Linked DNA regions of Caenorhabditis elegans. The protein of the gene in region 1 purifies or fractionates together with the protein of each later gene. This does not show direct contact. Each region holds a gene or a part of one and is shown on either strand. Other genes may lie near its edges.

Region 1 (5,486 bases):
GCAGACTGGAAAATTGATATTTATAAATATACACTTTTGGAGTTTTTTCTTCCAAATTTACCTCTCCAGTTGGCATTCCATCTTGCATTTTCCATTCTCCCTGTGGAGAGATGCTCATCAAATGATCTCTCAACTCATCAATACCCTCTCCGTTCAACGAAGAAACGAAGAAGACACGTTCGAATCCAGACCATCCACAAATCGTACGGAATAAGGAACGTGTCTCAGAATAACTGCATTTCCACGTGGGTTTCTGAATAAGCTCTCGAAATTGGCTCTGCCATTTCTCATCGGATGGTTTGAAGGAAGATGATGATTGAATATTTGTGGAGAGTGATTTTCCAAGTCGTCCAATTTGAGCAGGCTTTGTAGAAATTTGTTGATTGTCGGATAATTGACCATTAGTGAGAATCTGGAATAGTTTTTTGTAATTTAGAAGTTCAAAATTTTCTCCGAACTTACTTCAACTAAAGGTAATAAATCGGATCTTCTCATAACCAAGTCGATCTTGTTCATCACCAGAATACTTGGAACATGCGAATATCTGTGAAGCATATGAAGAACACGATGATGAATGTATGCTCCAGGTGCTGTCGAGTCTTGCACAACGAGCACGTGTTGAGCTCGTTGGAGGGCTCGCTCCGGATCCTGAAGCACACGATCTCCACTTGTTGCACTAGTTTTCTTCATGGTTTGGCGGACATGGGACGTACTAACAGCTCCAGGAGAATCGACAAACACGAGTTGAGTGGAGTCGCTGCAGATTGAAGCAGAGATGTTCTGAAAATAAATATTTTTATGAAGTTTGTACAAGAAATTTGAGAAATTAAAAATGAAAATCTTACCCTTGTCGTGGTGTCCATTTTACTGCTAACTGCTGATAAAGGACACCTGATTAGTGAATTCGTTAGAAGTGATTTTCCAACATTTGGAGCTCCGATAACTGCAAGTTGAAGACATTTTGTTGCTGGTTGTATTGGGGTTTTCTGAAAAATAAAATAAAATTATCAATCTTAAAATAAGAAAAGTAATACCTCATAGCTCGTAGAAGTTGAAGCCGTCGAGAAAAGTCTACACGAAAAGTTTAGCCGTTTTATAATCATCTGAAACTTTTCTTGAGTGAATTGAATTTTTTACGGAATTTTCAGTAACAAAAAAAATAAAAAGGTATGTCCAGCCTTAAAAGGTGTAATATAAACACAAGATATCAACGTATTTTTTTAATCAAAATTTTTGATGGCGCGAAATTCAACAAAACAAAGAACAAATGGATAACAGTAAAACAAATAAAGATGATTGTGATATTCAAGACAAAAAGTGAATATCTGCCTTGTTGAAAGCGAGAAGAAGTGCCAAAAAATCCTCAACTCTCATTTTTCGAGCGCGGCTTTCTCCATATCCCGAAGCTGTTAATGTCTCTTCAATAACCTTTTTCATGTTAAGATCCTTTGGAATTGGCTGAAAAATTTTGATTATTGGAATGAATTTGTTTAAGTATTAAAATACTTACTTTGTTTTTGAAACTGCATACTTTTCTGAAATTATCCTCGATAACCTCAATAACATTAGAAAGTCGGAAAATAGCCATCAGTGTCTTGTTTTTTCGCATGAAGCACAAACGAAGAAGTCCTTCCCATTCCTACAAAAGATAATTTTTCAATTATAAATTTCCATTTTAATAATCTACTCACGACAAAATTCACTGGCGGTGGTGGATTCTTGGGAGCGATTCTGACGACTGCTGAATCAACTTTTGGCGGTGGTCTGAATTCGGTTCTCTTCACTTTCATCAGCATCTCAACTTTAGCCAATAGCTGAACATTAACAGAAAGTCTACTGTAATCTTTATCTCCCGGTCGAGCAACTAGCCGGTCAGCAAACTCTTTTTGGAACATGAGAACTGCGTATCTGAAATTATTATATAATTTTCAAAATTACTGGTTGATGAGGTTAGATTAGTGATACCTTGGAAGTGGTCTATGTAATAACAATTTTTGCACAAAAGGAGATGAGATTTGATATGGAAGATTGGCAACACAAACGTCAAAGAATGGCCATTCCATTTTCATTACATCTCCTCCATTAACTTGTAATTTGTTTTGTAGAGGTCTGAAATATATTTATTTTAAATTCGAAAATATTTTTCAAAAAATACGTACGTTCCCATAACTCTTTTCTTGACTTCAGCAATCATTCTAGGATCGATTTCACATGCAATTACAGTTTTTGCCACCTCCAGCATTTTAACCGTCAAGTTTCCTGTTCCTGGTCCGACTTCAAGCACTGTATCGGTGGCTTTAAGAGCTGATTTCTCAACGATTGCATTCACAACTCCAGGATTTTTGAGAATATGTTGTCCTTTGTCGGTGTTAAATGGAAGTGCTATAAAATCAATGTTATGAATAGAAATTTTGCAAAAATAACATACATTGAACATTTCCAGTTGATGATCCTGCTTTCGTCTTTTTAACTTTACTCGTTTTTCCCATTTTGAGTTTTTTTAAATCTGAAAATGAACGAAAAATAATAGTATTTCTGAAAATAGGAAAATAATGAAAAGAAATAAAGGTAGAATGATTTGTCCACGTGAAGTACAAAACGTGGGACTAAAAAACAATTCTAGTCCGCGCGTCGTGTACTCCTCTCAGACAAACAGAAGTTGCACAATTTTTTGAAATCGATCCCTTTTAATCACTTTTTCCTATTCTTCTAGCGTTTAATTATTTTCTATTGATTTTATTTACACAATGGGGTCAAAAAGAGTATGCCCAGATGCAAATAATTCTGTAAAGTGTAAGTTTTAGGCCTGGGCTGAATATTAAATCTGAAAATAATACTTTTCAGCAAAAAAAGCAAAAACCCTGGATTTTCTCGCTCATCCTCGACGGAAGATTGCAATTCAGTTTTTCTATTTGGGCTGGGAGCATGATGGGCTTGTTCAACAACCGCATACACAAAATACGGTGGAAAATGTAAGAATTCTAAAATACTTTATTTAAATAAATTAAAAATGTTTCAGCATATCATGCAGGCACTAATAAAAACTCATTTAATTGAGGACTGGACGAAATGTGATTTTTCGCGTTGTGGACGGACCGATAAAGGAGTTTCCGCATTTAAACAAACTGCTGCAATGGTTGTTAGGTTTAAAATTTTTTTACTGAACTCGTTCTCATTTCAATTTTCAGATCTCTGTGTCCCGGTGACTCAGGAGTGTTTTGGTCAGATTCTACGCAAGAGCATCAAAAAGTGGACTATAAAGCTAGTGGAGAAGAGCTTCCCTATGTAAAAATGCTCAATGGAGTTCTTCCGAAAACCATCAGAGTCTTCGCCTGGGCTCCTGTCGCGCAAACGTTCAATGCCAGATTCGATTGTAATAGAAGAACATATAAATATTCTTTTGCTAAAGCTGACCTTAACTTAGAGGTTGGTGTATTTTCATTATATTTTTATCTTCAAATTATTATTTATTTAGAAAATGCGTCAGGGCGCGGAGCTATTGGTCGGTGAGCACGATTTTTCGAATTTCTGCCAAATCGATATGAACGAGAAAAGACTGCTGCAGTCTTATGTTAGAAAAGTCTATGAAGTCAAGGTAGAACAAGTATCGACTCATCCAGAAAATGGTATTGTTTATTTATTCAGAGAGTTTAGTTTTGACAAGTAAAACTTTAGATATGTATTCAATGGTGGAGCTCACTGTATCTGGAAGTGGTTTCCTTTGGCATATGATTCGATACATAGTCACGATCCTTCAAGAAATTGGAAGAGAAAATGAACAACCATCATTAATCTCACAGCTTCTTGACCTGAAAAAATATCCGAGCCGGCCGCAGTACACCTTAGCCTCGGACACTCCTCTATGCTTATTCGATTGTGGATATAAATCTGAAGATGTTGAATGGAAAGTTCATGACTATACACTGAAAAGTACAGTGACCGGACTACAAAAAACCTGGGCGACGTATCAGGCGAGAAGTCGAATGATGGAAAATATGCTCGGAGAACTGACTGGAATGGCTGAATTCAGTTCAGGAGATGCCAATAAAGGACTTCACGAATTTGTACAAGATCGTCCGATACCTTCAAATTACATAAGGTTTGAGAATAGGAAAATGTGTGAAAGCCTGGAGAGCAAGAAAGAGAAAATGGCAGAAAAGAAGAAAAATGGAGAAGAATCTTCGGATAAACTATGAGAGTTTAATTGTTTTTTAAGTTATTAATACGGTTTTGTTGTTGATTTTTTTGTTTTTAAAAATATATGTTTCTGTTTTTTGATCAATTTTTTCCTTTTTGTTTGATTTATTGGTTTCTGAAATCCAAATTTATTTCTGAAAATTGTAAGAAGTTGTCTTTATAATCGAATTTCCATTTCCAGCTAGACAGAAATGTCTATAATCAACGACGAAAATGGAAGAGGCTATAAAGTACATCTTTGCAAGACGAATATTGCACAGAACAACAATAAATTTTACGATATGGAATTGTTGGATGAGGGAGGTGATTTCATTGTGAAGCTTATCAATGGACGTATTGGATATCGTGGTGTCACACAATTAAAAGATTTCGATGACCTCGACAGAGCCAAGAAGTTCTTCGAAAGCAAATTCTACGAGAAAACTCATCTTCATTGGGAAGAAAGAGACGATGAACCGGTTCCCAATAAATATGCAGTCGTTGAGTTGGCTACTAACGCAAGACAGACTGAAAAAGAAGTTAAAAAGGAGGAACCGGAACCTGAGCCGAAAGTTGATGAGAAAAATACACGTGGAAGGAAGAAAAGAGGAATTGTTAAAGAAAAGAAAGAAATCAAGAAAGAAGAGGAACCAGTTGAAGAAGTTAATGAAAAGCTGAAGGAATTGATGAAATGCATCTGCGACGAAGATGTTCATCTGGGACTCTTGAAACAACTGAAATTTAACGAAGCTTTTGGAAGACCAATTGGTGAGTTTTAAAAAATCGTATTAAAAAATTAGAGAAAAATTCAGATTGCCTCTCACTTGCCCAACTCACCACTGGATATGAAATTTTGAGTAAGATTGAGGAATCGATTGGAGGAAAATCAGGTATTTTATGAAATTTTGTAAATTTGAAGTTTTAAGTTGAAAAATCTAAATTTAGGCCATTATCTTCCCTGAAAAATGGAAATTCTTTTAGCTCGAAGATCTACTCGTGGCCGGCCACGAGTAGCTGACCGTGTTCTTGCTGTTAAATCCGATGGTCCATCTCTTCACGACATCAACAAATATTATTCTCTCATCCCTCATTCATTTGGTTTCTGTGTTCCTCCAAAAATTGATTCTCATGCTAAAATTCAAGCTGAACGAGAGCTTCTGGATGCACTGAAAGGATCAATTGAAGCATCACTGGAACTGAAGGATTTGAAAAAGACAGCATCGTCGAAGGATATTTATCAAAGACTTTATGAGCGCCTCCCGTGCCATTTGGAGCCAGTTTCGGAAGAAATTGCAGGAAAAATTGGAGAC
Region 2 (5,321 bases), on another chromosome or scaffold:
GTCGGTTTTAATTGTTAAAAAAACTGGGTAAAAAACTTCTTACCTACAGAGACTATGAGAAAAAGAGTCGTCATTGGATATTCGGACTAATTTTCGTGGCTCAAAACATATTCTCGTGCACAATGGCCGTGGTCACAACAACTTCAGGACTTACATTTCAAGTTCTTATCTCTGGAGTCATCTTTTCTTTATTCTGTTCTGCTGTGGTTAGTTTCCAACCTAAAGAAGTTTTGTTGATTTTCAAATAATTAAGATTTATGCATTGGTTGAGTATTTTAATCAGCAACGGCTGATGACATTGGAACGAGATCATCGGACTACGAACTACACATTGAGTATCAGATATCAATTGAAAGAGAATCTCAAAACATTGAAGGTAAGCGAAAAATCGAGATTATTTCTAGAAATGATACATTTTTCTAGGTAATGCGTCGATTTTTCATTTCAATCATTTTAATTATAATAGCAATGGGGCTTGGTAATTCACTTCCAGTCATTTTAAATTTAAATGAAGATATCATTCTGACTGTCCGTGTTTATATGGATTATGTTTTTCATTCGTAAGTTGCTTTTTCCTTTTGAAAACTTTTAAATCTTTTTTTCAGAAATCCCGTATTTCTAGTGCCAACTGCAATTTTCACAATTGAAAACTATCGAAAATACACGTTCAATAAGGCTAGAACCACTTTTGGAATGAGAATCGACAGTCGTAAGGTAACTAATTTTTGTATTTTTCGCTTGAAAAGTCCAAAATAGTTTCAAATTCAGAAATACCACAAAAGAAAAACAAAAACATCGCGAAAGTATTAAAAATCCAGCTTTTTATCACGCAATATCAATTTTGGCAAAACTCCATATTTGAACTTCCTCCAAAATGAGATGCCACGCCCATTTTCGAACCAATCAGCGTCTTCGAACATCTGATTGGTTCAAAAGTGGGCGAAGCGAATCGATGATTGGTCGCAGTTTTCATTTCCGAGGAAGTTCAAACAGAGAATTTAGCCAAAATTGCAAAATCAAGTTTTTAAAAGTTGGATTTTTCACTCTGTCGTCATTTTTTTTAGTTTTTCTTTTTGTTATTTCTGAATTTAATAGTAAAACAACTTTGGATTTTTTAAAGCAAAATCCCCCGTTTATCCTGGTTTTTTTTCTTTGAAATTGTGTAAGTTCGAAATTTTAGGTTGATATTCGAAAGCTTCGCCCTCAAATGGACCGGGAGAGTGACATGTATTTTGAGATTTTCGAGAGGCAACTGGAAGGAGATGGTGCTTGTCGAGGAAAGATGCGCACTGGATCTTTGAGAAAACCGAAAATTAATGCCAAATATTAATCTCTGAAGAGCTGCTTAATATATCTGAAATGTACACAATGAATGTTAATAATTTTTGATTTTATTTGTAAAGGAACAAAAGTCCCCCATAACAGTATCAACAATAACAATAAAAGCTCAAACAAAAGTATCAAAAAATTTTGAAAAACAGTCTTATGCAGTTTCGAGGAATTTACACATCTCGGACTCTTTGTGTGTACGGATCTTCTTCGCCCACTGCTTCGGTGTGTATTGCCATAAATTCTTCGGATCACGAGTCATTGCTTGAAAATCTTCGCCGTGACGAGCCAGCATGTAGACACAAAGCTCGGTTTCTCTATGGAAAAGTCGGAATTTCCGGTCTTGTCCAGCTCGAGCTTCCTCTTCTTCTTTCACTTGCTGTTCCAGATTTGAGATAATGTGTGCTGCCTGGAAATAATAACAGAATTAAAACAATTGAATTAAATATTTAGAAACCGATTCATCGGACCTGCTTTTTTCAGAAACTAAAACTTTAGCGTTATTTACTACCAACTATGATTAAATTTTACCTGTTTCTCATTCTTTTTTCTTCCAGTAACTTTCTTTTCCGGTTTGGGAACAACAATACTGACACCGTCAATTGGCTCCGCGTCGATGATCTCTTTCTGAAAATTCAAAATTATGAATCAATGAGCATGAAATTTAATTTGGACTTCCGCAAGACAAAGTGCGCAATTAAGTTCCGTCAATGCACAACGCCTTGAAAAAATCGATAACCTACTCTGTGTTCAGCGATTGGAACCGCGTCATTTGGATTAAATGCGATACCCATGTCGCGGACGTTTTCTCGAGGAGTCTTAGTTTCATCCCATGTGTATTTGATAATTGGCCTGCAAGTCACTATTTAAATGGAAAAATAGACAAAAATTAACTCACACTGCACTTTTCGATAATTTTTTCTTGTTATCCTTCTTCTTGAGATATTTTTGTCGGTTTCTGCGGTTTGTATACGCTGGCTTTCCTCTCTTCTTTACATCACGTGCCATTTTTTCTGAAAAACAATAAAATTTCGAAATAAATACAATACAATCAGAGGAAAAACAGTAAAACCGAGAAAATAGGGAAAGATTCTTCGAAAAAATTTCAGGACGAAATGGAAGAGAAACTTGATGAGTTGTCGGATTCTAGGCCACCGTCAGTTTGTTTTTTTTTTCGTCGAGAATTATTTTAACAACACAATTCTTTGTTAAATGTTATATATTTTTAATACAATTTTGTTTTCAATGAAGAAAAAATATTATTATGTTCTCATAAAAACTAATTGGTGCTTTAAAAATCGCAATATTCGTCAATAAACCCGCCGGACTAGTTTTCTCCATTTAATTGACACTTTCTCGGGTTTTCCGATTAATTCGACGTGTGATAGTCTTCTTTTTCAGTTTTCATAGGTTATTAATTAATCAATTTTACAGATAATTATGTCAACAAGGCGTAGTTCTACAAGAGCGTATGTTTGAACTATAATTGTTTTTGACAAAATGAGTTGATTTTTCAGAGACTCCACAACAAAGCGACCAGCTTCCCCAAATAGCACGCCGAATGCTGCACTCGGGATTTTCGTTGCTGTAAGTATATATTCTTCAAAATAAAATTTAAACGAGAAAGTTTAATCGTTTTAAATATAAAATTTCAATATTGCAGATCGCTCGTCAAATTCTGTTCATCGATGCTCGAAAAGTTGCCCTCTTCTATCTGGCTTTTGTGACTGTGCTCTCTTTCATCGAGTCCCGTATTGAACTAGATTCCACGTATTATTTGGTCCAAAAGCACAGTGTTCTGAATCAATATGGAGTAAAAATGGGATGGTTTTGGACACTTGTCATCGTTGGTCCATTTATTTGGTAAGTATTCTTGAATTTTAATGACACTGATGTGAGGGATAAGTTAATGTTTCTCTCTTTTCTTGCAGAAGTTAATCAGAATCTAGTATTTTGTTATAATATGCAAATATTTTTGTTTCGAAAACCATAAAGTTTGCAGGTTCTCTTCAAAAGCTCACAATCGTCGTGATCGTGATCAACCAATCGTTGATGTGTGCCGTCTTGGAGTGGGAACCGCGTGTTGGTACTTTTCTGTGCAATTGTAAGCTTTATGCAATAATTCTTACTTAAACGAAAAAGTTTTCAGTTTCCACAAAGTTCTTGCACTAACCTCAATGTGTGACAAAGGACGTACTCTGACTCGTGCTCAGTGTTCCGAAAAAGAAGGTGTCTGGACGCCAGGATATGATATTTCAGGTCACTGCTTCTTGATGATCTACAGTATTCTGATTATCACTGAGGAGGTATAAAGAAAAAAAGGTTTCAGAAAACAATATGGGAATGTTTACAGGCGATTGCTTACCGTCATTATCAACAAGTAACTGATGCAGTTCATCAAATGGACGGTGATCGTGAAGAACATGATCGTTTGACTCGATGCATTCAATATTTCTTCGTCGCAATGTTGTTCCTTCATGCATTCTGGTTCAAGCAAATTATCATCTCCGTTCTTTATTATCATATCTTCATTGAAGAGGTAATCATATTTTGCATCTCAGAATAACAATTTGTATTCTTCAAAAATTTAATTACTCAATTTCCCTATTTTTCAGATTCTCGGAGCTGTGGCCGCTGTCGTTTGCTGGTTTGTGACCTACCGCATGCTCTATCCAGCCGGATTCTTGGCCTCCCCAATTCGCCGGACTGTGGGCAGAAAATAAATATTATCAATGTGAATATTTTCAAAATTCTAGTCCTCCTTTTGTGTGTTAATTAAAATCCTGAAATTTAAACTTTTTGTAAAATCGTCTTACATCCCCTCTATTGCCTCGTTTACTGGTTTCTCCTTTAATTAAGTAACTGTTAATGTTCTGTTTTTGTTTTATTTATATAAATTCATTATCATATATTTAAGTCTTATTCATAAAATTTACACGCGATCATTGGGTAGCAAGGCTTTTATCAGTAAATACGCGTTGTCGACCTTAAAACTGTTGAATCAATGAGAAACAAAAATTCAAGAAAATTACAAATTCACACGATATTTCAATAATTTACAGTAATCCATTTTCACTTCAATTGAATTTCTTGTTGTGTTCATACTTTCACTTTGATTCTCCCATTCAATTTCATAATTGGCTCCCCGAAGCAATATTTTTCATATCTCTGTGAAATAAATGATCTCGACACGACCGAATTATTTTAAATGAAAAAGAGTGTGCGCCTTTAAAGTGTACAGTACTTTTCTTCGACTTTTTTTTAAAATTTAAACACTTGCTATTTAATGTGAATAACAGAAGTTAGACGTTTTGAAATAGAAAACGAGAAAAATCTAAAAATTGGGAAATAGCGAAGTGGGAAAACTACTGTACACCTTAAAGGCGCACAATCGTTTTAATTTAAAATTGTTCGATCGTGTCGAGACCGGGTACCGTATTTTCGTTCCGTAAACGCAACAAAGATAACGGTCCCACTAAATAACTAACCCAATCGAAATGTTTTTGTGTAGCTTGACCACATTATCGTCGAGATCATGTGTGAAAATTATGAAAGTAATGCATCTATAGTGATATTTGGTGGGGTTTTAATTATCCAGGGAGTATACGGAAGGTAGGTTTCGGAGTTTATGATAAACAAATGTAAAAGTCACGAGTTCAGAGATACGAGGTTTTTGCAACAACCCGATGGAGATCGAGGCCAGCAATCTAATATTTTAAAACAAGAAGTACTTAAAAAGATGATAAAATAAGGCAAAAAATTAATTTCTGGAATTCGTGGACAGTGTTAGATACTGTAATAACTCTTCTTCCAATCAAGCACAGAATATCCCTTCAAGAACGCATCGCAGTCTATGTGTAAGTTAAAAATTAAAAAAATATACGATACAATATTAAAAAGAACAAAGATGAATACTTTAAAAAACCGAAGTAAAGCATGGTCACCAGACCTAGGTCCTTAGGCTTAGTTGCTTAGCTGCTAATTCGATACGA

Evidence for each region. Proteins that work in one complex are often made in the same cells at the same time.
Region 2: the proteins of E02H1.1 (region 1) and nol-16 fractionate together in Caenorhabditis elegans (co-fractionation; one large-scale study listed by BioGRID). This does not show direct contact.

What each region holds. Positions count from the first base shown.
Region 1 is NC_003280.10:9,588,659-9,594,144, forward strand, and holds E02H1.1 (putative dimethyladenosine transferase), read right to left. Parts: upstream 2,507-5,486; 5' UTR 2,490-2,506; coding exon 2,429-2,489; intron 2,383-2,428; coding exon 2,160-2,382; intron 2,110-2,159; coding exon 1,966-2,109; intron 1,909-1,965; coding exon 1,692-1,908; intron 1,640-1,691; coding exon 1,511-1,639; intron 1,459-1,510; coding exon 1,306-1,458; 3' UTR 1,207-1,305; downstream 1-1,206. Other genes in the region: eral-1 (GTPase Era, mitochondrial), read right to left, coding at 1-5, 62-412, 463-780, 846-986, 1,035-1,103; putative tRNA pseudouridine synthase tag-124, read left to right, coding at 2,748-2,793, 2,845-2,972, 3,020-3,144, 3,189-3,426, 3,476-3,626, 3,676-4,196; parp-2 (Poly [ADP-ribose] polymerase 2), read left to right, coding at 4,389-4,944, 4,989-5,066, 5,158-5,486. UniProt on the Caenorhabditis elegans protein: Specifically dimethylates two adjacent adenosines in the loop of a conserved hairpin near the 3'-end of 18S rRNA in the 40S particle.
Region 2 is NC_003279.8:8,252,369-8,257,689, reverse strand, and holds nol-16 (Nucleolar protein 16), read right to left. Parts: upstream 2,343-5,321; 5' UTR 2,338-2,342; coding exon 2,228-2,337; intron 2,182-2,227; coding exon 2,073-2,181; intron 1,957-2,072; coding exon 1,861-1,956; intron 1,739-1,860; coding exon 1,484-1,738; 3' UTR 1,378-1,483; downstream 1-1,377. Other genes in the region: sre-23 (Serpentine Receptor, class E (Epsilon)), read left to right, coding at 50-206, 254-376, 424-560, 606-714, 1,181-1,330; fitm-2 (Acyl-coenzyme A diphosphatase FITM2), read left to right, coding at 2,770-2,798, 2,847-2,916, 2,993-3,192, 3,332-3,433, 3,479-3,635, 3,683-3,868, 3,945-4,052.